3 separate regions of the Mus musculus genome follow, and regions 1 and 3 are each reported to be linked to region 2. The links are microRNA targets in miRTarBase. Many come from high-throughput screens and were not tested one by one. Region 2 holds a microRNA gene; each other region holds the end of a gene's coding sequence.
What was found. The annotated mature microRNA mmu-miR-22-3p reads AAGCUGCCAGUUGAAGAACUGU and lies in region 2 at 3,247-3,268, shown strand. An mRNA with a match to its seed (bases 2 to 7 or 8) in the 3' UTR can be bound and repressed. Matches are read on the target gene's strand: a 7mer-m8 pairs with bases 2 to 8, a 7mer-A1 pairs with bases 2 to 7 and ends in A, and an 8mer does both.

Region 1 (7,480 bases), not on the chromosome of region 2:
GCACTTCTGTGCACCGTCTGCTCAGCGGAGTCCTGAGTAAGGGTTGCTTGGAAGTTGTTGGGTCCTCATGCTTTGTTTTCTTTCTTGGTGGAACTTCCCTGGGCTCTCTTATTCTCAAGGGTGTCAGGTGTCTACACTAGGTATTTTAAGCACAAAGTAGAACTTGAGAAAGGGCACTAGATTGAAAGTGAGCAGAAATAAGCCCTAGATGTATATTGTTGAGGGGTCTGGGAGTGGTCATTTACCTTCAAAAGTCTGGGTTCCGAGATGCAAGAGTCAGAGCATCCCCTACATAAGTCTGGCTAAGGTGAGCACTGATTTTATGCCATTTTGATTAAAAAAAAAAACAGCACAGCCCTACTTCCAAATATGCTCATGAAGTGTGCTTCCGTCCAGGCTCTCACGTCTAATACCTGTGGATTATCTTATTTAGATTAGATCTGCTGTTTTTGTTCCAATGCCACTCACCGAATCTCTCCTTTTCATTCTAGGCATATGCTATGATGTTGTCACTGTCTGACAAGGATTCCCTCCATCCCACCTCCCACAGTTCCTCCAACGTGTGGCACAGCATGGCAAGGGCTGCAGCAGAATCCAGTGCCATCCAGTCCATAAGCCATGTATGACATTGTCAAGGTTGACCAGAGTGGGACCAAGTCCAACGGTAGCATGGCTCTTTCATACAGAACAATTTACAAGACTGCTGAGCAGGATGCCTTATAACCCTGAAGGGTCACGCATTTAAAGTCTGGTGACCTTAAACTGAATGAGTAAAGAAAGAGAGAGAAAAAGGAAGCTATTTATTCTCAATATTTTGTTTTGCACAGCCAAGGCAGCTGCTGACTTCTGGAGGATCAATTAATCCAAAATGATTGGAGGGGAAAGGAAACCTCACCAGGGAAGGCATCTTTCATTCCCCCTGCCGCAGGGCATGGGTGGCTGAGAGGAGCAGTTGAAATGGCAGCATTGATATAAATGGACATTTCATAGAAATCAAACTCTACTCTACAGGATCACCTGATCTGACTGGGAACAGTGGCTTCTAACTACCAGATTTTTTTTTTCCTTTTTAAAGTTTTATGTAATTTAATCTTTTGCAGATGGAAGTAGTCAGAAGAAATGCACAATGATTATAGGAAGTGATAGCAGGATTTTTTGTCACCCCCCACACCCTCTTAACTTTGGCCTTCTTGAGTACATTGTTTAAAACTAGGGGGAAAAAAGGGTATGTGTATATTGTAAACTATGGATGCTCATGCAGAGAGGTTAAGTCGGTGACATAACTGTTTATCACCACTGTACCACTAATACAATGTTTGCCAAATCCTTGTAATGACATCTTAATTTTAGACAATCATGTCACTGTTTTTAATGTTTCAATTTTTTTGTGTGTTGTGTGTATCATGTATTTATTTGTTGGCAAACTATGGTTTGTTGATCAAAAAGAGCACTGTTCCCGTCAGCCACTATTTTATGATGTCTGAGGCACACCCCTTTCTGAATTCCAAGGACCAAGGTGACATGACCTGTGTATGGGAGTGCCCAATAGTGTTTGGCTTTTCTTAACATTCCTTCCTTTTTGTTGTTGTTGTTTTGTTTTCCTTTTTAATGAACTAAATACCAATAGATGCAACTTAGTTTTTGTAATACTGAAATCGATTCAATTGTATAAATGATTATAATTTCTTTCATGGAAGCATGATCCTTCTGATTAAGAACTGTACCCCATATTTTATGCTGGTTGTCTGCAAGCTTGTGCGATGATGTTATGTTCATGTTAATCCTATTTGTAAAATGAAGTGTTCCTGACCTTATGTTAAAAAGAGAGAAGTAAATAACAGACATTATTCAGTTATTTTGTCCTTTATCGAAAAACCAGATTTCATTTTTCCTTTTTGTTTGTGATCTCATTTGGAAATAATTGGCAAGTTGAGGTACTTTCTTCCCATGCTTTGTACAATATAAACTGTTATGCCTTTCAGTGCGTTACTGTGGGAGGAGCAACTAAAAAAAAAAATAAAGACTTCCAAAAATCATGAAAAATAATGACTCCCCTGTGTGCTGCTTTCTTTTCTCATGCAATTTTAGTTCCCTTCTGGCATCCAAATGATCTAAAGATACAGTGTTTAAAACCTTGATGCCCTAGCAGATTTGGGGAATGTAAGCATGCTTGTAAGGTTTTGAGATGACACAGTGATAGATCGTAGCCAGCAATGAGTTCTGCAGCTTGTGGTGAACTTTGCTCACAGTGCAAGTCAAGACCCGTAGGCAGGCTCCGCTTCCCAGCTCTGGCCTTCCTCTAGGGCTGCAGCACACATGGTAGTTGGGACAGAGCGCAGCCAGCAACAATGTTCGCTAGGGAGCTTCCTGGTATTTCTTTCTTTTTTGTCTAGCTGGTGTATGTGTTCCAGGTATAAACCCAGGGACTTACTACACACACTAGGCAAACAGGGTAGCACTGAAATATATACCCTACCTTTGATTTTTCTTATAATAATATTGATGCTATTGAAATTCATAAGGACAGAAACACCATTCATTCCCCTAGGTTCTTTTAAGATTATTATATATATATGTGTGTGTGTGTCTGTGTGTGTGTGTGTGCTGTGTGTGTGTGTGTCTGTGTGTGTGTCTGTGTGTGTGTGTGTCTGTGTGTGTCTGTGTGTGTGTGTGCTTGTGTGTGTGTCTGTGTGTGTGTGTCTATGTATGTGTGTGTCTGTGTGTGTGTGTCTGTGTGTGTGTGTCTGTGTGTGTGTGTCTCTGTGTGTGATGTACATTTCTGGTACCCCAAGGGATCAGAAGATGGCATGAGGCAACCTAGAACTTGAGTTCTAGGGAATTATCAGCCTTCTATTGTGGGTGCTAGAAAGCGAACCCAGGTCCTGCTAGAACAGCAAGTGTTCTAAACCACTGCTCCACCTCTCCTATGTTTCTTTCAAATTTCTGCCCAGATTCAAAATACCATTATAAAAAGAAAATAACAAAGTCATTGTATACCATGAAAAGTTCTTCATTTATATGTTGAATCAAACATAGTTTCTTCAAATTTTCAATATTGTTGAAAACTAGGGCTCCTCTGCTTCCATTTGTACAAATGAGGACATGTTAATTGTCATGTACATTCTTGCTCCTGGGAGCTCAGGGCCACATGTGCAGCGCTGTGATGGGACGAGAGACCCTACAGATCAGGCCTCTCCTGGGATAAAAATCAAGGATTTTGGGTTGCTTCTTGCATATAATTCAGTGTCAGATTAATTCTAAATGTTGCTATTATAGGAATATAATTCTGGGATTTAGTGTACAGATTTTATAATAGAAAGTAAACAGGATTTTCAAGAAATAACCTTAAGGTATACTCCCGTAACCAAGAAACAGAACATGATTATAGCATTTGACTGTACAAGCAACACAAGGGAGAAGGCGGAGCACTGGAGAAAGGGGCAGTTTAGACTATGCCTATGCTCACAAATAGCAATGAATGCAATTAAAATGTCCCCAGTGCTGCTAGCTTCCTTGTAGACTTCGATGTTCACATCCGTGATTTGCTAGAGTTTATGCCTCAAGTTCTAGGAAGCTAATCAAGATTTACTTCTTGTCTCTTAGTCACTTGCTTTTGTAATCACTACACCAACTACCTGCCCTGGGAAGAGTCAATGATACGATCAGGAGACTATCTAGACACTGGAGACAGAAGGCCTGGATTCGAGTTCCCCCAAACCTCCTCTGGGAAACCAGGGGCTGCTGCCATCTGGTCTGCTTCACTGAGTGGCTGCATACGTGGAGACGAAAACCAGAGGATGAGAGCTCAGTGGGAGAGTGTTGAACTCACAAAGTCCTACGTTCAATCCTTCAGCATTGCACATTAGTTAATTAATTAATTAATTAAATTTTGTAAATAATTTGTAGTAGTTCTTAATGTACAAAACACCTTATAATTTTTGGGAGGATTTTAAAGAATATAATATACAATATTTGGGTATATATTTTACAGTGACATAATATGTATATAGTGGCACATATGCAAATATTACGCGAGAACAAATTTATAATACAGCAAAGATCTATTCTATATTATTGTAATGAGTGAAAGAGAAGTTTCATACAAAAAAGTTAGGAATATTTCTCTTTCATTCTGGCCCTTGTATTTCTGCTTGGTTTTATGTGATGGGAATTGAGCCTGGAGCATATTAAACATGTGATCTACCACTAAACTATGCCTCTTGCTGTAGACATGTTTCTTGAAAAGCATACACAGGCTTAAAACAAAGGAAGTTAAATCCTTTGAAAATGTGAAACAAACAGTGTCTACTTGTTTTCTTTCATTGATAAAATTACATATATTGATGGTATATGCGATTGTGATACAAGTGTATATTAAGGAATGATTAAATTACTTAACATCATGCAATTTATGAGAAGACTACTATATCTATTCTTTACATTTAATATGCAATATATTGTTATTAGCTATTGCCACTAATATATGTATTAAATAAAGTTCTTGACATTTATTCAAATATAATTCTTTGAAGCTTCCCAAAAGTTCAAGAATAATTAAGAAAAGACATTCAAATAGCTCATTCATTAACTTGATTTTTCACATGGCTGCTACCTACAATCCTATTTCAGGAAAAATAATATTGTTCTTGCATTTACTAATGCAAATGTGATATATACATATCTATCTATCTATCTATCTATCTATCTATCTAATCATTGCTCATTTAATGTGCTTAACATGGAGACAGGGAGCTATCTTCCTGTTTTAGAGATAAGGAAACTAGAGCTGAGAAACTGCTATTGGCTGGATGAGAATGTGTAGTCTGCAGGGAACACAGTGTCTTAGATATCATAGTTCATGTACAGGAGAAGAAAGAGAATATTCCAAAGCTGAAGAAATGTGCCCAGTGAGAAACCAAAGTGAGGCTGCACCTCTGCTAATGTGCCCAGGAGACAGTGAGGCGGCTGAGTCTTGGCAGAAAAGAGTTTGAAAGATACTGCCAAGTACTTGTTCCCAGGTTTTAAAAAACTCAGGTTATTCCAAGTCAGAGCCAACAGTACCAGTGCTTTTGAAAGACCCCTAGTGCTTTATTACTAAGGGTCTTGGCTGTCTTTTCTGGACCTCGTAAGCTGGTGGACCTTATTTTTTCTAAAACAGAAGATTTTTCACAATCTTATGTTTTGAATTGATTAACATGCAATGATTTAAGCACCTTCAGAAGCGGTTAGACTCAGGAGGAAGCAAGCATAAGAGAAGGAACAGTTAAGAGCGGTCCTTGTTTGCTCTCCTTGGGCTTTAAAGGGATTGTCAGGAAGAGGGGTGTGGGGAGGAGAAAGGATGATACAGAGGGAAACTTAGCAAGCAGGTTGGGGACTTCCCCCAAGAGATGCGGTTTATTGTTTAATTGTTCTTTGTAGAAAAAAACGATTCATGGTGGATTCAGAATGCTGTTCTTGAAGCTCTGTGTATTTAAAACAGAAAAGCACCCTGTGCTCATTAGGATATAGGATGGGTACTATTCAAAAAATAACAATTGCTGGAAGAGCAGAGAAAAATACTGTAAAATGGAAAAGCCACTTTGGGAAACTACATGAAAGTTCCTAAGAAAATCGTGAATTCACTTCGGGTTATACACTCAAAAGGACTGATATCGAATTGTCAGGAGATATTTACATACTTGTGTTCACAGCATCAGTTTTTACAGAAGACAAAAGATGGAAGCATCTAGTGGACATCAAAAGATAGATGAGTGAAATGTATATACATCTATATCTATGTCCACATATCTGTGCAATGGGTATGATTCACTCTTCAAAGGGAAGGGGATTTTGACACAGACAGTAACATGGATAAATGTCAAGAACATTTTAGTAAGTGAAATAAACCAATCACAGAAGGGAAGCTACTGTAGGAGTCAGCTTCTATGGAGAACCTATGGTAATCAGTTCATAGAAGCAAAGGTGGTTTCCAAGGGGCTGGGAGATTAAAGCATGCTGAGTTGTTTAATGGGATTTCAGTTTTTGCAAGGGGAAAAGAGTCCAGTTGTTGGTGCACACTACAGGAATGTATTAGTCATGCAGGAACCATATGTCTAAAGAGGTTGATAGATATTTTATGGAATATATATTTTACCCTTATTAAAGAGCAAAGAAAAAAAATACCTCTCCCTATGGTTTTCCCAAAGAATTAAATTCTGTGTACCCTAAGGGGAAAGGCAATTACCAGGTGGTTATGTGAGAGTGTATACAATTGAGGTAAAGCTTGGGAACCAACCCAGACCAGGGAGTAGCCCGTGGAAATTCTTACTGAATTACTGTCATTAATTTTTCTTTTTTTTTGGTCACTTTACATCCAGGTTATAAAGGGACACATCAGAAAGTTGTCTCTGGTAGAAATCAGGAAGTCATGATGGTCTCGGTTACTGTGGGTTTTCTGATGTACTGTTATAACCCTGATACTGTCTCTACTATGGACTACCTGTCACGACCTGTTCCTGTTCCTGATATTATCCGTTCTCCAGCCTTTGACCCTATCATTGTACTTCAGTGGAAACTAGCAGGCAGGAGAAAATGCAGAGTAAGATTTTAGAGGCCCTTGTGATACCAAGGGACAGTGATAGGTACCAGAAGACCATAGTTAGTACAAGGCCTCTCAAGAACATATATATTCCAGATGAGGAATGGATGAGGGATGCCCTCAGCATCTCTCCCGTGTTTCTTGAATGGATACCACCTGGTCAACATGGCCTGTACAGACTTCCATGAGCTGGTTCTTCACTGCTATCTGGTTTCAATTGTCTCAGACTGGCAGAACTCCTATCAATCACCAAGTTCAATTATACATTTGAAGACTGTGTACATCATACTATTCTTGGAATACCTCCTCTTTACTCCTCCTAATCTAGACTCTCTCCCCCCCTCCAGCCTCCACTACATTCCTAATTGGCTAGGTTACTAGGTGTACTGGCTGGTTTTGTGTCAACTTGACACAGCTGGAGTTATCACAGAGAAAGGAGCTTCATTTGGGGAAATGCCTCCACGAGATCCAGCTGTAAGGCATTTTCTCAATTAGTGATCAAGAGGGGAGGTGCCACCTGTGGGCTGGTAGTCTTGGTTTTATAAGACAGCAAGCTGAGCAAGTCAGGGCAAGCAAGCCAGTAAGGAACATCCCTCCATGGCCTCTGCATCAGCTCCTGCTTCCTGACCTGCTGGAGTTCCAGTCCTGACGTCCTTGGTGATGAACAGCATTGTGGAAGTGTAAGCCAAATAAACCCTTTCCTCCCCAACTTGCTTCTTGGTCATGATGTTTGTGCAGGAATAGAAACCCTAACTAAGACACTAGGTCTTTAGATTTTAATTTTAATTTTAATATTGCTATGCCTGCTATCCTCTTCTCTCCTCACTTGCTAGTGTGAATCAATTATTCATTCATAAACGTAATTTATATGCATGTACTATTCTAAAATAACATAATGCACAT
Region 2 (7,480 bases):
GCTTTTGCCAAGTCATTGGGTTCATTTCGGTTTTTGCCCATCCCCCGCCTTTCAGACTCTGATTGGCCCCTAGGGAAGGAGCCGCCTCTTCATTGGTCTCCACCTTTGAAATCACTTCCCTAAGTAGGCCTGAGTCAGAGAAGCGTTTCGGAGGGCGGGACTGAATGGGTGTTAATCTTAGAACCGGGTTTCTGGTTGATACTACTTTGGTAAAGATCTTCCCCTAATTTTTAAAAAGACGCTTCCTCTCTAAAAGTGAGGGCGAATCCTTTGTTAAGAACGTGCCCCTTGAGAAGCCGTGGGCTCTTCAGCGACTAAGACGAGACATTCACTAGAAAAGATTTCACTAAACCCACGAGGGATAGACTAGACCTCCAGTGAAGATTGGGCCTGTGCGGGTGACATTTGTCCCTATACCCCGAAGACCTCGAGCTAGCTCTCCAGTGAAGACTGGGGCCGTGCGAGTGACAGTGGTCCCTATACCCCGAAAAAAAAAAAGTCCTATTTGTGGAAAAAAAAAAAGACTTCGGGTGTTCTGCTGCATCGGTGGCTGGCTTCCATCTTTAGTTCTACTCACTCCTGTTGCTTCGCGTGCTCCACCTTCGCTTAGCTCAGGCCTCCTGTGAATCAGTTTTGAGGCTAAAAGAAGTTCCAAGAAGGAGGGGCTGTAGCCCTTTAAGGACTTCCCCGCGACCGAGTCAGAGATCAGTTTAAAAATGCCAACTCACAGAGCGCGCTGCATTCTGGGAAGCTGAGTGTCACCGTAAGAACTTCATTGACCGGAATGCACTGCAAAAATACACGCCTATACTTCCTTCTGCTCTTTAAACTGTAGTTTGACGTAAAGCTGGTCTAAGCAAGTCGCCTAGGCCGAGGGTTAGCCACACCTTTTCAGCCATTGGCCAGTTGGTTAGTTGGTAGGCGTGGCTTAGAGAAGCTCCTCCAGGCAAGGGGGTGGCCTCCTTGCCAATCAGAGCCCAGACGCCTGAATGGGCGGGAGTAAGCAGAGGTGCTGGCGCCCCCGAGTGGGTGTGGTCACGTTGCCCAGCAATGGGCGGTGATTGGCCCTGGGTGGTTCATTCGCAGCTCGTGCGTCACGACGCCGCCAGCTGATCGGAGACTGGAGCCGGTGTGTGCTGGGCGCTGGGAAGAGACAGAGCGGTCGGCCGTGCGGACAGGTCGCAGTGATTTTGCTCCTCTGTCCACAGCAACCCCCGCACCCAGCATCAGGTGGGTGTGATCTGGGGACCCGGTCATCCCGGGGGGAACCGCGGTAACCGGGTGATGGGGAAAGTAGGGTCCTGACGGCCACACCCTGCCCTTCTGGGGGAGGGGAGAGGGGGCGGCGGGGACAGGGGCGCTCTTGGGAGAGGAGCCTGGACTCTCCCGAGTAGTGTGTCTGGACGTTTAAAGAGAGAGTCCCGGACAGGAGTCGTGGCAGAAGGTTTGGAGAAGTAACTGGGGAGGAATATGAGAGGCCAGAGGGCCGGGGGCGTCTAACCCCGACGCCCTTTGGTTTGAGGATGCCCGAGCTGACCATTTAGCCTAGGGAGGATCTGGACGAGCGAGGGGTGCGGAGGTGCATTGCCTCTACCGGCGCTGACTGGGTCAGGGCCAGTTCAAGTCCCTGGCAGGGAAGGGGTCGCTGGGCGGTCCGGCCCCTCCTCTCGTTCCCTCCCGGGGATGTTATGTAAGGGGGGAGGGGAAAGGAGTAGGGGGCGGCGGTGCGGAGGCCTTATGCAACCCAAAGGTTAGGGTTTCACCGCGGGTTGGGCGGAGGTTGGGGGGGCGGACAGGAGGAGTGCCTGGAAACTCTACCCGCACCCCCCCTCCCAGCCTAACTGGCTGTCTTGGACAGAGAGAAGGTCACCTTTGCACCTCCCCCCTAGTATGTCCGGTAGAGAGGCCCCTAGCCCGGGCTTGGCCTGACTGCCTGGGAAGCCGGCTGGCTGGGTGGGGCGCCTGGGTTAGTCATCGCTGGGCTCCCTCTCTCCCCACCTCCTGGCCAACTCTTGGCCCCTCCCCACGGCCTCCGGTTAGGCTAACGTTCCCACCTCCCTCTGGCCCTAGTTTCAGTCTCCAACTCATTTGGCCTGTCACCCTGGCTGTTAGAGTAGGCTAGAAGCTGTCATGGTGCCAGAGAGTTGATGGAGCAGCTGGTCAGAGGGTCAGTGCCCTGGGCCCACCCCGCCCCGCAGCCAAGGGCACCTGCTTGGCACAAACTCTCAGCAGCCAGTGAACCCTGTGGCCTGAACAGAGCTATCCTGGGCAGAGAGAAGTGGACAGAGACTGATCACCTAGGAGAAGGAAGATCCGACAAAGTTTATACTTCCCAAGAGGCTTTTGGAATTTGAAAGTTGCCCACCCTAGTGTAATCTTTCCACTCTCTGAAAATAGAAATCCCAAGGCAAAGTCTCCTTGGCCCTTCTATCTGGCAGTGGCCATGTCCTTGGACTGACTGTGCAGAACCACCCTCTCGGGCTCCCAGCCCTCTAGCCTGCCACGCCCCCAGCCCCCTCCCTGAGCCATGCTGTAGGGCCCCGGCTTTTACTGCTGATTCATGCGTTGGAACTGTGGGGGCGGGGCTTGGAACTTGGAACAAAGTTCAGACGTGGAGGGGCCGGCAGACAGCCTGGAATTCATACCAGATGTACCCGGAATGTGCAAGCGGAATGCCTGGCATCTCTAGTCCTGAGGAAGCTGCCCAGCCACCCTACCCATACCTCCCTCCCCTCCTGCCTTTGGTCAGCTGTCCTCCCTCAGACTCCTGAGAGCCCCTGCTGACCTTCCAACTCTAGTGCCCCTCCCATTTCTAACCCTACACAAACCCTCCTTGCTGCTGAATTCCCTAAGAACAAGTCATTTGAGTTGATCACAGAGCTCATATTTCTGAAGTACATTTTTTTTTTTAACTTGGGACTTGGGTTCTACACCCTGCCCTTTGAATGCCGAAGATGCTGGGCTCCTTAGCAGGTTGCCAAGAGTTGCCAGCTCCTAGTCTGTAAAGGGGCACAAAGCAAGTGCATTTAGAAGCCTCTTGCTTCTTATTCAAGAACCCCTCATTAGAAGGTACTGAAAGTCAGCTAGAGCCAGGTTTGGATGGCCTCTGGGTCGCTGGCCCTGTCACCCAGCTTTCCTGTTTTTTTTTTTCCTCCCCTTCCTTTTAGGAACCTGTGCCTCCCACACCCTCACCTGGCTGAGCCGCAGTAGTTCTTCAGTGGCAAGCTTTATGTCCTGACCCAGCTAAAGCTGCCAGTTGAAGAACTGTTGCCCTCTGCCCCTGGCTTCGTGGAGGAAGAGGAGAAGCAGCAGCTTTGCCTATCATCCGGAAGGTGACAGAACTGGGGTGGGAAGGTCTGGACAGCTGGGGTGATGGCTTTATGGGAGGGAAACCCTGGTCCTCTGGGGAGCCCTTACCCCCACTGGCCCAGTGAAAGATTTAGGTTAAAGGCACTGTCTATAAATTGGGGAATAGGTGACTCCACCTCCCCAAGATTAGTTGATGTCTGTGTGGCAGTGGGAAGAAATAGAAGGAAAAGTCTGTCTGTTTACTGAGACTTCCTTGTAGGCCTGCCTTTCTTATCTTCATCATCACCATGCCAACACACACACACACACACACACACACACACACACATACACACACATACACACACACACACACACACACACTTTCCTTTCCATGAGGTCCAAAAGTAAATGTACTCAGGAAGGGGGACATTGAAACTCCGTTCTAAGTAGTCATTTGTGTATTTACTTTTTTTGTTTATTTGTTTGTTTGTCTTTCGAGACAGGGTTTCTCTGTATAGCCCTGGCTGTCCTGGAACTCACTTTGTAGACTAGGCTGGCCTCGAACTCAGAAATCTGCCTGCCTCTGCCTCCCAAGTGCTGGGATTAAAGGCGTGTGCCACCACCGCCCGGCTGTATTTACATTTCTTTATTTATTTTTAGTCTGGCCCAGATTTTGGGTTTAGGGGTACTTACCCTTACACCTGTGGATTTTTCCACCTGTATAATGGGGAATCCCATAGATAAGTAGGCAGGAGGGCATTAAAAGTCCACCAGTGGTGACTCAGAGCCTGGGCTCTTCTCTTCTCGTGGATGGAAACGAAACAGCTCTTCACATGAACTGTTGTCCTTCCCCCACCCCCTGACTACTCACCCAGCTCAGGGGGATTAGGATGGAAGGAAAGGCTATGGTTAAGTCCCAGGCAAGCTCGTGGGAGGCTAGTCCTCTACTGGCTTCTCACCATGCATGGGTGGTCCAAGGCTTTCCCTCCACCTAAAGCAAAACTGTAGCTCTTGGTTGGGTTCTAGCAACCACTGCCATTTATTTTCTGCCTTTGCTTTCCAGGATAGTGAGACTCTGCTCAATACTGTGCAGGCAAGAAATTGTCAGGGGAGATGGGTTGTATGATATGAGTCCCTTCTGCTGCCTCTAGCTCCTGATTCATTCTCACGTATGGGCTTGGTCTCTGATTGTGGTTCACCTTTGGCCCAGTCTTCCTAACAGAAGATGGGTTCAGGGGGTACAGGAGGCTGTTTGTTGTATTTGACAGGAGGAGGAGTTCTAGCCTGTTCCCCATTTGTGAGAAACTGAAAGTCATAGGGGAGACTAGATCATCTAATCCAGCCCCACTGCAGTCTAAGCTGAGGGATAGGATGTGTAAGGGACTGTAGCAGACGGGCTGGGGAGGCTGAGTCGGCTCACACATTGCGACAAAGATTGCCCTTCCCTCGACCTCGCTTGCTTTCTTTCCTCCTCCCTTCCCTGGCCACAGTGTGTCCCTCCAGCACTGGGTACATGGCTCTGCTGTCCTCATCCAACATGGAGCCTCAGAGGTGAGAAAGGGCAGCCTGGAAGCAACAGAGGCAGGCACAAGACAGTGGAGGACCTGGCCTGGAACCACAAGGGCCTATCCGGACATTGGTCAGAGAGGCACGTAGAAGCCTGGAGAACACCAGGAAAGAGAGCAGCCAGCCAGCCTCAGTGAAAGACACGTGCTTCCAGCCATCTCCTCTCAGGACCTGCCTTCCTGGGAGATGAAGGGCCTCCAGGAAGTATGGTCCCATCTCTACCCTGCAGTTTCTATAAACAGCCTCAAGGAGCATGAGCCACCTCTGAAAGGAAATACACAGCAAATTCAAAAAGAGATTCAAATGTGTAACACTGTGGGAAAACATATCTATGACTGGGGTTGTAGCTCAGTTGGTAGGTTTGCTTAACATGCACCAAGCCCTGGTTCTGTCTTCTGCATTGCATAAAACTGAACAGGTTGGCCCAGGTCTGCAATCCCGGCACTCTGGAGGTGGTGGCAAAGGAGCCTACATTCAAGGTAATCCTCTGCTATACAATGAGTTCTGAGCCAGCCTGGGCTATATGAGACTGTCTCAAAAAATAAAACAAAATAAAATAAAGCATTGGTTAGTAATTCAAAGAAAGCAGATGTGGCTGAAACCGTTTTCCCTGATCATAATACAACAAGCAAATGAAAGCCAGAAGAAGGCTCCTGTGCCTTGTGTGTGGCAGTACCAACCATTGTGAGAGATGCCTTTGGACCTGGTAGTTTGCTGTCTTAGAAATGTATCCTAAAATAAGGATTTGGTTATAAAATGTTCATCTCAGGGTTGTAATAGAGAAAAATGGAACGCAGCTGTTTGTTTGGAAGTCCATTCCTTTTCTGCTGTCATGAAAATGTATAGCTAGGGCTTGCCTAAGTAAATTATATTCATCTGATGGTGGTGTTCTGTGCAGCCATCCAAAGTCTTACAGAAGAAAAATTGAGTGGAAATATAAATATTGAATACTAAAAAGATTATAAAAGTATGAGTTTGTGACTGTTTTTAAAATATGAACACATACTTGTAATATATTTTTTTAAAAACCATCCAATTGAGTGGAAATATAAATACTGAATACTAAAAAGATTATGAAAAGTATGAGTTTGTGACTGTTTTTAAAATATGAATGCATACTTGTAATATATTTTTTAAAAAAACACTGAAAGTGGATTCAAAATGTTAAGAATGGTTGTTTTTGTATGGTGGGATAGTACAATTGTGAATTTTCCCCTTGTTTTTTCTGTCTTTCTAATTTTTAAATATTGTGCATTGCTTTCATATGTTAAATAAAATACAAAAGACAAATAAATGTTTTAAAATTTTTACTCTTTTATGAGTGTTTTGCCTGTGAGTGGCAGGAATCCAACATTGTCTTCTGAAAGCAGCTAGCGCTAACTTCTGAGCCGTCTCTTCACTCCCTCTGTAATTTTTAAAAAATATATTTGTATGTTATATTATGTGTCTTTGTGCACCAGAGTGTGGGTGCACATTCTGCAGAGGCCAGAAGAGGGCATCAGATTCCCTGGAGCTGCACGCTGTTTGGATCTTCTGATGTGGATGCTCAGAATCGCACTCAGGTCCTCTAGAAGAGCAGCAAATGCTCCTAGCCACTAAAGCCATCTCTCCCTCTAGTCCTCATTGTCATGTTTAGATTTTGGAGAATTTGCTTGTAGGAGGATGGGCTACACCAAGTGCCAGGTGAAAGAAAATGTTTGCTTGGGATACCTATTGCTTCTTGAGTGTGTGTGTGCATGCTTGTGTGTGTGTGTGTATGTGTGTGTGTACACTGGAGCTAGGAATCATATCCAGGGGCCTTTTCAAGCTCCACCACACTAAAGTCAATTCTATGAACTTCATTAATTGTCTGAATCCACCTACTCTCTACACACAGGAAGCATTCCTCTGACTTTCTGACTGTCAGCCAGCTAAGGAGGTGTGGCTTAGAATAAGAAAGAAGGGAAATGCTCAAAACCTGTCACTCTTTGGGGGATTTGTGGTTGGAAAGGATATTCCTCTTAAGGCCAAAGGGGTCTAGAATCTGAAGAGTCTTATTTTTAGCTTGTTTGTTTTTCTTACTTGAGACCTGGGGAGGGGAGGTGTATGTGTCTTCCATTTGCTTCTTCTACCTAATAAAGTTTCTTGGTGATGTTTGGGGGGGGGGGAGGGGGTAGGACTCAAGAAGGGATTCTCCCATAAGCTGTTCCGTTTGGGTAGTACTATGTAAGGAAGTTACAGGTGGGCAGAGCTCGGCTCTGCCTGACTGGCGTGCTCTGAGGTAAAGGTGAGATGGTGCAAGATTTGGGCCCTCAGGAGTTGGCTCTGTTGGCCCTGTACCTTCTGGTCTGTGGGTAAGGATGACCAGTAGGTGAGAGATGAGGGAACCAGAACAGAAGGTGAAAGTTAGTGGGGCGGAGCCCCAGACTAGTCAGGTGGGGGTAAACTAGATGACTTTCTGGAACCCCAAGGGGCTCGGAGACTAGTGGTGTTGGAGAAGACCTCTAATGTGTTGTAAGGCCTCTGAACTCAGTAGCCGAACTTGATGCCAGAAAGCCCCAAACTGCTAAACCCAAGCAGGAGCGGGACGCCATCCGTTCCATGGCTTCACCCGAGGTGGCCCCATGGCTGCGCCAATCAATGA
Region 3 (7,480 bases), not on the chromosome of region 2:
GTAAAACACACACACACACACACAAAGGGATTTGGGGATGAAGCTTCAATAGAGGAAAGGGAAGAGTGTCACTGGACCTTGGTTGGTAAACATGGTGAGAGCCTGTGTGTATTGGGGTGGGGGTGGCTGTGGATTAAACCTGGGTCTTCTGCCAGGTGGTGGTGGCGCACGCCTTTAGTCTCAGCACTTGGGAGGCAGAGGCAGTCAGATTTCTGAGTTCAAGGCCAGCCTGGTCTACAGAGTGAGTTCTAGGACAGCCAGGGCTACACAGAGAAACCCAGTCTCGAAAAAACCAAAACCACACCAAAACAAAACAAAACACAAAACCCTGGGTCTTCTGTGTACTACATGGTACTCTACCACTGAGCTACGTCCCAACACTGGAGGTCCTCCGGGGCAGTTACTCATAGTGTGTTCTTCCCTCCCTCCCACTGAAGGACCATAGAGTCCTGGCCTTGCTTCCTCCATCCAACCCATCTCTGTGTTTTCTTTACAGGTGCCGTTCTCTGAGAGAAAAAGACAGGGCTCTGAACCAGTATCCGGCATTATATTACCCTGAGCTATATATCCTCAAAGGGGGCTACAGAGATTTCTTTCCAGAGTATATGGTAAAAGGATGTGGAAGATCTCAGACATGGTGGGAGGGGTGCTCCAACTCAGCTTTAGCATAGTCTCCAGGGATGTAAAGCAGTCTAGGAGAAAACGGGTTTCTCAGACCCAGGGAGCAGTATCTCTTCTCTGTAGTAGGCAGGGCTCAGGAGTCTGAGAAACCTTTGTCTCGTACCTTTCAGGAGCTGTGTGACCCACAGAGCTACTGTCCCATGCTTCACCAGGACCACCAGGCTGAGCTGCTGAGCTGGCGAAGCCAGAGCAAGGCCCAGGAAGGGGAGCGGCAGCTGCAGGGACAGATTGCCCTCCTGGTGAAGGGTGCGAGCCCACAATAGTGACTATGACGGTGGCAGTGAAGACACTACAGACCCTGGACAGAAGGAGTCATCTTCCATGTCGCTAATCCCGTGATTATGTCTGCAAACATGGGCAGAGCCAGGCAGGCTGTAAATAAATGCCTTTCGTCCTAGCACTAAGGAGGCAAAGGCAGGAGGATCTTTGAGTTTGAGGCCAGCCTGGTCTACATGTGACCTTGTCTCAAAAACAAAACAAACAAAATAAAACAAAACCCATTAAACCAAAACCTCTAGATGTCTCTAAGCCTGTCGTGCTGATGAAGTGCCCCTCCTGAGGCTGGGCGTGGTTTCCGTGAGCTGCTGGCTGTTCTAGATGATGAGCATTGTGTTTGAGAGTTCAGAGTTCTAGCCCCAGTCTCCCATATCTTGCCACAAGCAGCAGCTCTGCACAGGCTTCTGGTTTTCTGAGAACATGGCTTACCCTCTATGTATTTTCTTCCCTTTCTCAGCCTCTTTACTCAAATGGGAAAGTAAAATCGAAGTGACTTGGAACCCAGGCTCTTCCTGGAGGATCTGCATAAGGAGAATTGTCTTGAGAGGAGGCTCCTTTAAGGGCTTGCCTGTCACAGGAGCACTGAGTCAGAGCTTGCACACCATAAACAGTTAAGAAATACAGTCAGGCTGGGGAGGTGCCTCATTGGGTGAGTAAGACGGTTGCACGAGGCTCTGAGTTCCAAACCTAGGGAGCTAATAGGACACTGGCCACTCTACTGTGCCTCTGTAATCGTGGTAATCCTCACCATGAGAAGAGAGGTGGGGACAGAAGCCATGGAAGCTCTCAGGCCAGCTAATATGGCATACAGAAGAGACTGTCTAAAGTTAGAAGATGAAGGCCAACACCTGACCTTACACACACACACACACACACACACACAAACACAGATCTGTGAGACCTCATGTATAGCCTGATAATGCCAAAGTTCTTTTCTTTAGTTTTCAAGCTTTAGACCCTCAGCGTCATATGAATCTGCTTAAAATTAAAAAAAAAAAAAGATGGTGCCTGCTTTCAGCAGCATTTACACTAAAGGTGGAACAAAAGCATGACCCCTGCAAGGATGGTCCGCAGATTCGTTAAAGCATGTGTGTGCATGTGCTGTCTGTGTGTGTGCGTGTGCTGTGTGTGTGTGTGTGTGTGTGTGTGTGTGCTCTGTGTGTGTGTGTGTGTGTGTGTGCTCTGTGTGTGTGTGTGCATGTGCTGTGTGTGTGTGTGTGTGTGCTGTGTGTGTGTGTGTGTGCATGTGCTCTGTGCGTGTGCTCTGTGCGTGTGTGTGTGTGTGCGTGTGTGTGTGTGTGTGTGTGTGTGTGTATTTAAGTCATGACTCTTCATTTTAAGCCAGAACTGAGGTTCTGAGTTTTAAAACTTTCTGCCAAGTGTAAAATAAGTGCTATACTGAGTACTTGGTGAGTCAGACCCAGGAGAGCTGGGGTTCAAGATCACACTCAGCTCCCTGCCAGTGCAAAGCCAGCCTCAGCTACATGAGACCCTGTCTTACAAAATAAAATCAAAATCTTCCCTTTGGAGGCTGGAGAGAGGGTTCAGCGGTTGGGAGACTGCTCTTCCAGAGATCCTGAGTTCAATTCCCAACAACCACATGTTGGCTCACAACCATCTGTAGTGAGATCTGATGCCCTCTTCTGGTGTGTCTGAAGACAGCTACAGTGTACTTATATATAATAAGTAAATCTTTTTAAAAAAAGAAAACTTCCCTTTTCAGGTAATTTGATGTACCTTGGGCATAGTAACAACTGCTCTGGCCCTAAGGCTAAGTTTCAACTGTATTCTTGAGCTGGACTTAGTGCTACGTGTTTGTATCTCTAAACGGTCAAGGCAGGACCATGCTGATTGATTGGTCTCCAACCTGGAACAAATGTCCTGGGTTTAAGACATAACGGTGAGCGGGCGTGGTGGTGCACGCCTTTAATCCCAGCACTCGGGAGGCAGAGGCAGGTGGATTTCTGAGTTCGAGGCCAGCCTGGTCTACAAAGTGAGTTCCAGGACAGCTAGGACTACAGAGAAACCCTGTCTTGAAAAACCAAAAAGAAAAAAAAAAAAGACATAACAGTGAGTTCCACTACAAGATGCATAGATGCATATGAACTTTTTCACTGTTTTATTTTAATTTTAAGATTAATTTATATGTATGAGTGTTTTCCTTGCATGTATTGTGTGTGTGTGTGTGTGTGTGTGTGTGTGTATGTATATATATATACCACTTGAGTGCCTGGTGCCTGCAGAGGCCATCATAGGACACTAGATCCAGAACTGGAGTTAAAGATGATTGATTGTGAGTTCTGGGAACAGCAAGTGCTCTTAACCACTAAACCAGCAGCAGGAGCCCATGTTTCTCATTTAAAATTTTTGAAATGATTTCACTCTGCAGCTCAGACCAGTCTGGAATGACTAAGTTGGTGAGCGCTTGTCCAGTATGCATGAATCCCCGGGTTATTTATCTCCATGCACCATAAATGGGCATGCTGGTCCATGCTTTTAATCTCAGTAGTCTGAAGAGAGAGGCAGGGAAATTACAAAGTCAGGGTCATTCTTGGGTATCTATCAGCATAAGTTATATAAGACCATGGCTCTCAAATGGCAAGGGGACCCAAGTTCAGTTCCCAGGATGGTCATCAACAAGCCCACAGCTACCTGAAACTCCAGCTCCAAGGAACCAAGGCTTTCTTACAGCCTCCATGGGCACCTACACTTGGCACACACTTAGAATTGTTTTCTTTGATTTATCAGCTTTAAAGAACTGGAGAGATGTTTCAGTGGTTAAGAACACGTGCTGCTCTTCCAGAAAACATGCACATGGTGGCTCACAAACCATTTCTAATTCCAGTTCCAAGTTATCTAACAACCTCTTCTGATCTTTTGGGACATCTGGCACACATTTGATGCAAATACATACATGGAAGCAAAACACTTATAATTGTAAAGGATATAATATAGAATGTGTATATATGTGCAATTGCTCACGTGGAAACCAGAGAATAACTTGCAAGATTCCCTCCTGTCACCTGACTGGGGGTTGAATCTGGAACATCAGGCTTAGAGTCACTGCCTTTACACACTGAGCCACCTCACCAGCTAATTTTTAGCTGTGCTGGCTAATTTTTAATGCTAACTTGACACAAACTAGGGTCTTGTGGGAAGAAGGAATCATAATCAAGAAAGTTTCTCCATACAATTGGCCTATAGTTAAGTCTGTTGGATATTTTCTTGATTGGTGATTGATATGGAAGGGCTCACTCTAGGTGGTGCCACCCTGAACTAGTAGTCCTGTGTTAATTAAGAAAGTAGTCTGGGGCTGGAGAGATGGCTCAGTGGTTAAGAGCACTGACTGCTCTTCCAAAGGTCATGAGTTCAAATCCCAGCAACCACATGATGGCTCACAACCATCCAATAATGAGAGACAGCTACAGTGTACTTTACATATAATAAATACATGTTTTAAAAAAAAAGTAAGGCCGGGCGTGGTGGCGCACGCCTTTAATCCCAGCACTCGGGAGGCAGAGGCAGGCGGATTTCTGAGTTCGAGGCCAGCCTGGTCTACAAAGTGAGTTCCAGGACAGCCAGGGCTACACAGAGAAACCCTGTCTCGCAAAAAAAACAAAAAAAAAACAAAACAAAACAAAAAAGTAGTCTGAGCCAGGCATGGTGGCACACGCCTTTAATCCCAGCACTCGGGAGACAAAGGCAGGCAGATCTCTGAGTTCCAGGCCAGCCTGGTCTATAGAGTAAGTTCCAGGACAGCCAGGGAAGCCCTATCTTGTAAAACAAACAACAAAAAAGAAAGAAAGAAAGAAAGAAAGAAAGAAAGAAAGAAAGAAAGAAAGAAAGAAAGAAAGAAAGAAAGAAAGAAAGAAAGTAGTCTGAGCAAGCCAGTAAGCAGTGTTCCTCCATGGCCTCTGCATCTGTTCCTGCCTCCAGATTCCTGCCTTGGGTTCTGTGCCTTCCCTCTGTGATAGAGTGTGACCTGAGAGTTACAAGCTAAAATAAACCCTTTCCATGCCACACCACCTCCAGTAGGATCTGTGTGACAAGTTCCACTTCTGAGGCAATTGACCTCAGAAGGGAGAGGCTTCCTGGAACCAGTTGTGGAACTCTTCGCTGGAAAAACTATTAAGCCATAGTTCTCATGGCAATCTATCTGTTTTGTTTTCTCTTATTCCTTTTCTTATTTCACATGATCCCGGTAGCCTAGGCCAAGATCTTAAACAAGAATAAGGGGTCACTAACAAGATCTTATCCCCAGGGAAACCAACACTTAACTTTTTAAATCATTTACCAAATTATTATGATAGATAAAAACTTTCCTAACAAGCCAGGTGTGGTGGCGCATGCCTTTAATCCCAGCACTCGGGAGGCAGACACAGGTGGATTTCTGAGTTCGAGGCCAGCCTGGTCTACAAAGTGAGTTCCAGGACAGCCAGGGCTATAGAGAAACCCTGTCTCAAAAACCAAAAAAAAAAAAAAAAAAACCTTTCCCAACAATAAAATTTCTCATATGGCTACACGTGTGTCATCAGAGGTGGGTTTTGGTAAATGGTAAAGAAAGCCTCAATTGGGGCTGGAGAGATGGCTCAGTGGTTAAGAGCACCGACTGCTCTTCCGAAGGTCCTGAGTTCAAATCCCAGCAACCACATGGTGGCTCACAACCACCTGTTAATGAGATCTGATGCCCTCTTCTGGTGCATCTGAAGACAGCTACAGTGTACTTAGATATAATAAATAAATCTTTTAAAAAATGGCATTCCGGGCTGGCAAGATGGCTCAGTGGTTAAGAGTGCTGACTGCTCTTCCGAAGGTCCCGAGTTCAAATCCCAGCAACCACATGGTGGCTCACAACCATCCGTAACGAAATCTGATGCCCTCTTCTGGAGTATCTGAGGACAGCTACAGTGTACTTACATATAATAAATAAATAAATCTTTTAAAAAAAAAATGGCATTCCTTAAAAAAAAAGAAAGCCTCAACTAGAAAGAATTAAAATAGTTTAAATTTATGTGTTGAAGATTTATAAAAAATCAGGCATCAGATGTTAAATAATAATTGACCATGGGGCTGGAAAGTTAGCTAAGCAGTTAAAAGCATAAAGATTTATTAACTGCTCTTGGAAATATGCCACTAGCCTTGGATGATTGCCCCCACTGAATAAATTCTTTTAGAATTGTTATATTTTGATGATTTACATTAACAATGTTGTTACCTGTTCTGTTTGTGATTGTTTCACTGTGTACAGTTTCTAAGAGATATTTTTGTGCTTTACCTTGCCAAATGATTTCTGTTGATATTTGTGGTTGTTTTACTGGATATAGTTTCTAAGAGATGTAATGTTTGGTTTGTTTGTTTGTTTGTTTTCGGTTTGGTTTTTTGAGACAGGGTTTCTCTGTATAGCCCTGGCTGTCCTGGAACTCACTTTGTAGACCAGGCTGGCCTTGAAGTCAGAAATCCACCTGCCTCTGCCTCCTGAGTGCTGGGATTAAAGGCGCCTGGCTCTGTTTTTTTAATGTATAAAATCCCTTGCTTGAGAGCTACAAAATACACTCAGATTCAAACTGCCTCAGTGTTTGTTTCTGTTTGTCACTGCTGAATCCTTACTCACCTAGCTTCGAGGCCCCTCATTCCAGGGACCCCCATACCCAACTGGGGTGGTCTGTGGCATTTCCTCCCCAGTCACTTTTGCTCATGGTGTTTTTCACAGAAATAGAAACCCTAAGATGCAGGCAAAACAAAACTTTGAAAAACGACTCTTCAGCTGGGCAGTGATGGCACACACCTTTCATCCTAGCACACAGGAGACAGAGGAAGGTAAATCTCTGTGGGTTCAAGGCCTGCCTGGTCTACAGAGCAAGTTCCAGGACAGACAGCTACAGGTCTTCAAAACCCAAAAGGAGGGAGGGGCTGGGGAGGGGAGAGAAATTAGAAGTGCAAGGAGAGATCAGTTAGTCTTAAGACCAACCTGTTCTGAGCTCCAGAGCTCTGAGGTAGGCAGACTTTCATCTGTGTGGTAAGATGGCACTCTGGCACTAGTGACCAATAACCCAAGGTTAGGGAAGGAGGAAGCACTCTGAATCATAGACAGACAACTGGGGGGTGGGGGTGGGGGTGGGAATCTTCCCAGAATCTGGAATAGTCTAACATTCTTGATGTAAGTGCATAGGAAAGAAGGCTGTAGCCATGGAGTAGCCTGTGCCTGTGGCCAGACTGGTTTCTTGTTAAATGCAAGCTTCACAGCAGAGGGCACTGCTGCATTGTCAAAGACAGTCAGCAGCCTCTGCTCTGAATTGTCCTTGCAATGAAGGCCACCTTATTTGCCACTAAACCTTGAGCTCAGCTTCAAAACGTAGAGTGAGAGGGCAGAGGGGATGACTGTTATACCCACACAGGGGCAGGACCAAGCAGAAGTCCCCAGTTAGCCTGAAGAAGAAAAGGTAAATGCCTTATGTTCTTTGTGAAAAGCAGTACTTGTCTAAAAGGCACAGTGCTGAGTATTGATCATTATATGATTATATGC

Region 1: the mRNA of Mecom is a reported target of mmu-miR-22-3p. Seed matches in the 3' UTR shown: 7mer-m8 at 832-838.
Region 3: miRTarBase lists Cdc25c as a target of mmu-miR-22-3p. The part of its 3' UTR that is shown has no 7-base or 8-base seed match.

What each region holds. Positions count from the first base shown.
Region 1 is chr3:29,945,862-29,953,341 of GRCm38, reverse strand. Mecom (MDS1 and EVI1 complex locus) reads left to right here. Exons shown (of 16, transcript NM_001370769.2): 16 at 492-2,046. The coding sequence ends at 626. Among named protein-coding and RNA genes, the nearest start is that of Gm52621, 47 kb to the left of the region's middle.
Region 2 is chr11:75,460,526-75,468,005 of GRCm38, forward strand. It overlaps Mir22 (microRNA 22), which reads left to right and starts at 3,191; the gene lies at 3,191-3,285. Mir22hg (Mir22 host gene (non-protein coding)) reads left to right here and starts at 1,014. Exons shown (of 3, transcript NR_030711.1): 1 at 1,014-1,230; 2 at 3,168-3,332; 3 at 4,782-6,165.
Region 3 is chr18:34,726,705-34,734,184 of GRCm38, reverse strand. It overlaps Cdc25c (cell division cycle 25C), which reads left to right. Exons shown (of 15, transcript NM_009860.3): 14 at 497-608; 15 at 792-1,192. The coding sequence ends at 944. Among named protein-coding and RNA genes, the nearest start is that of Gfra3, 10 kb to the right of the region's middle.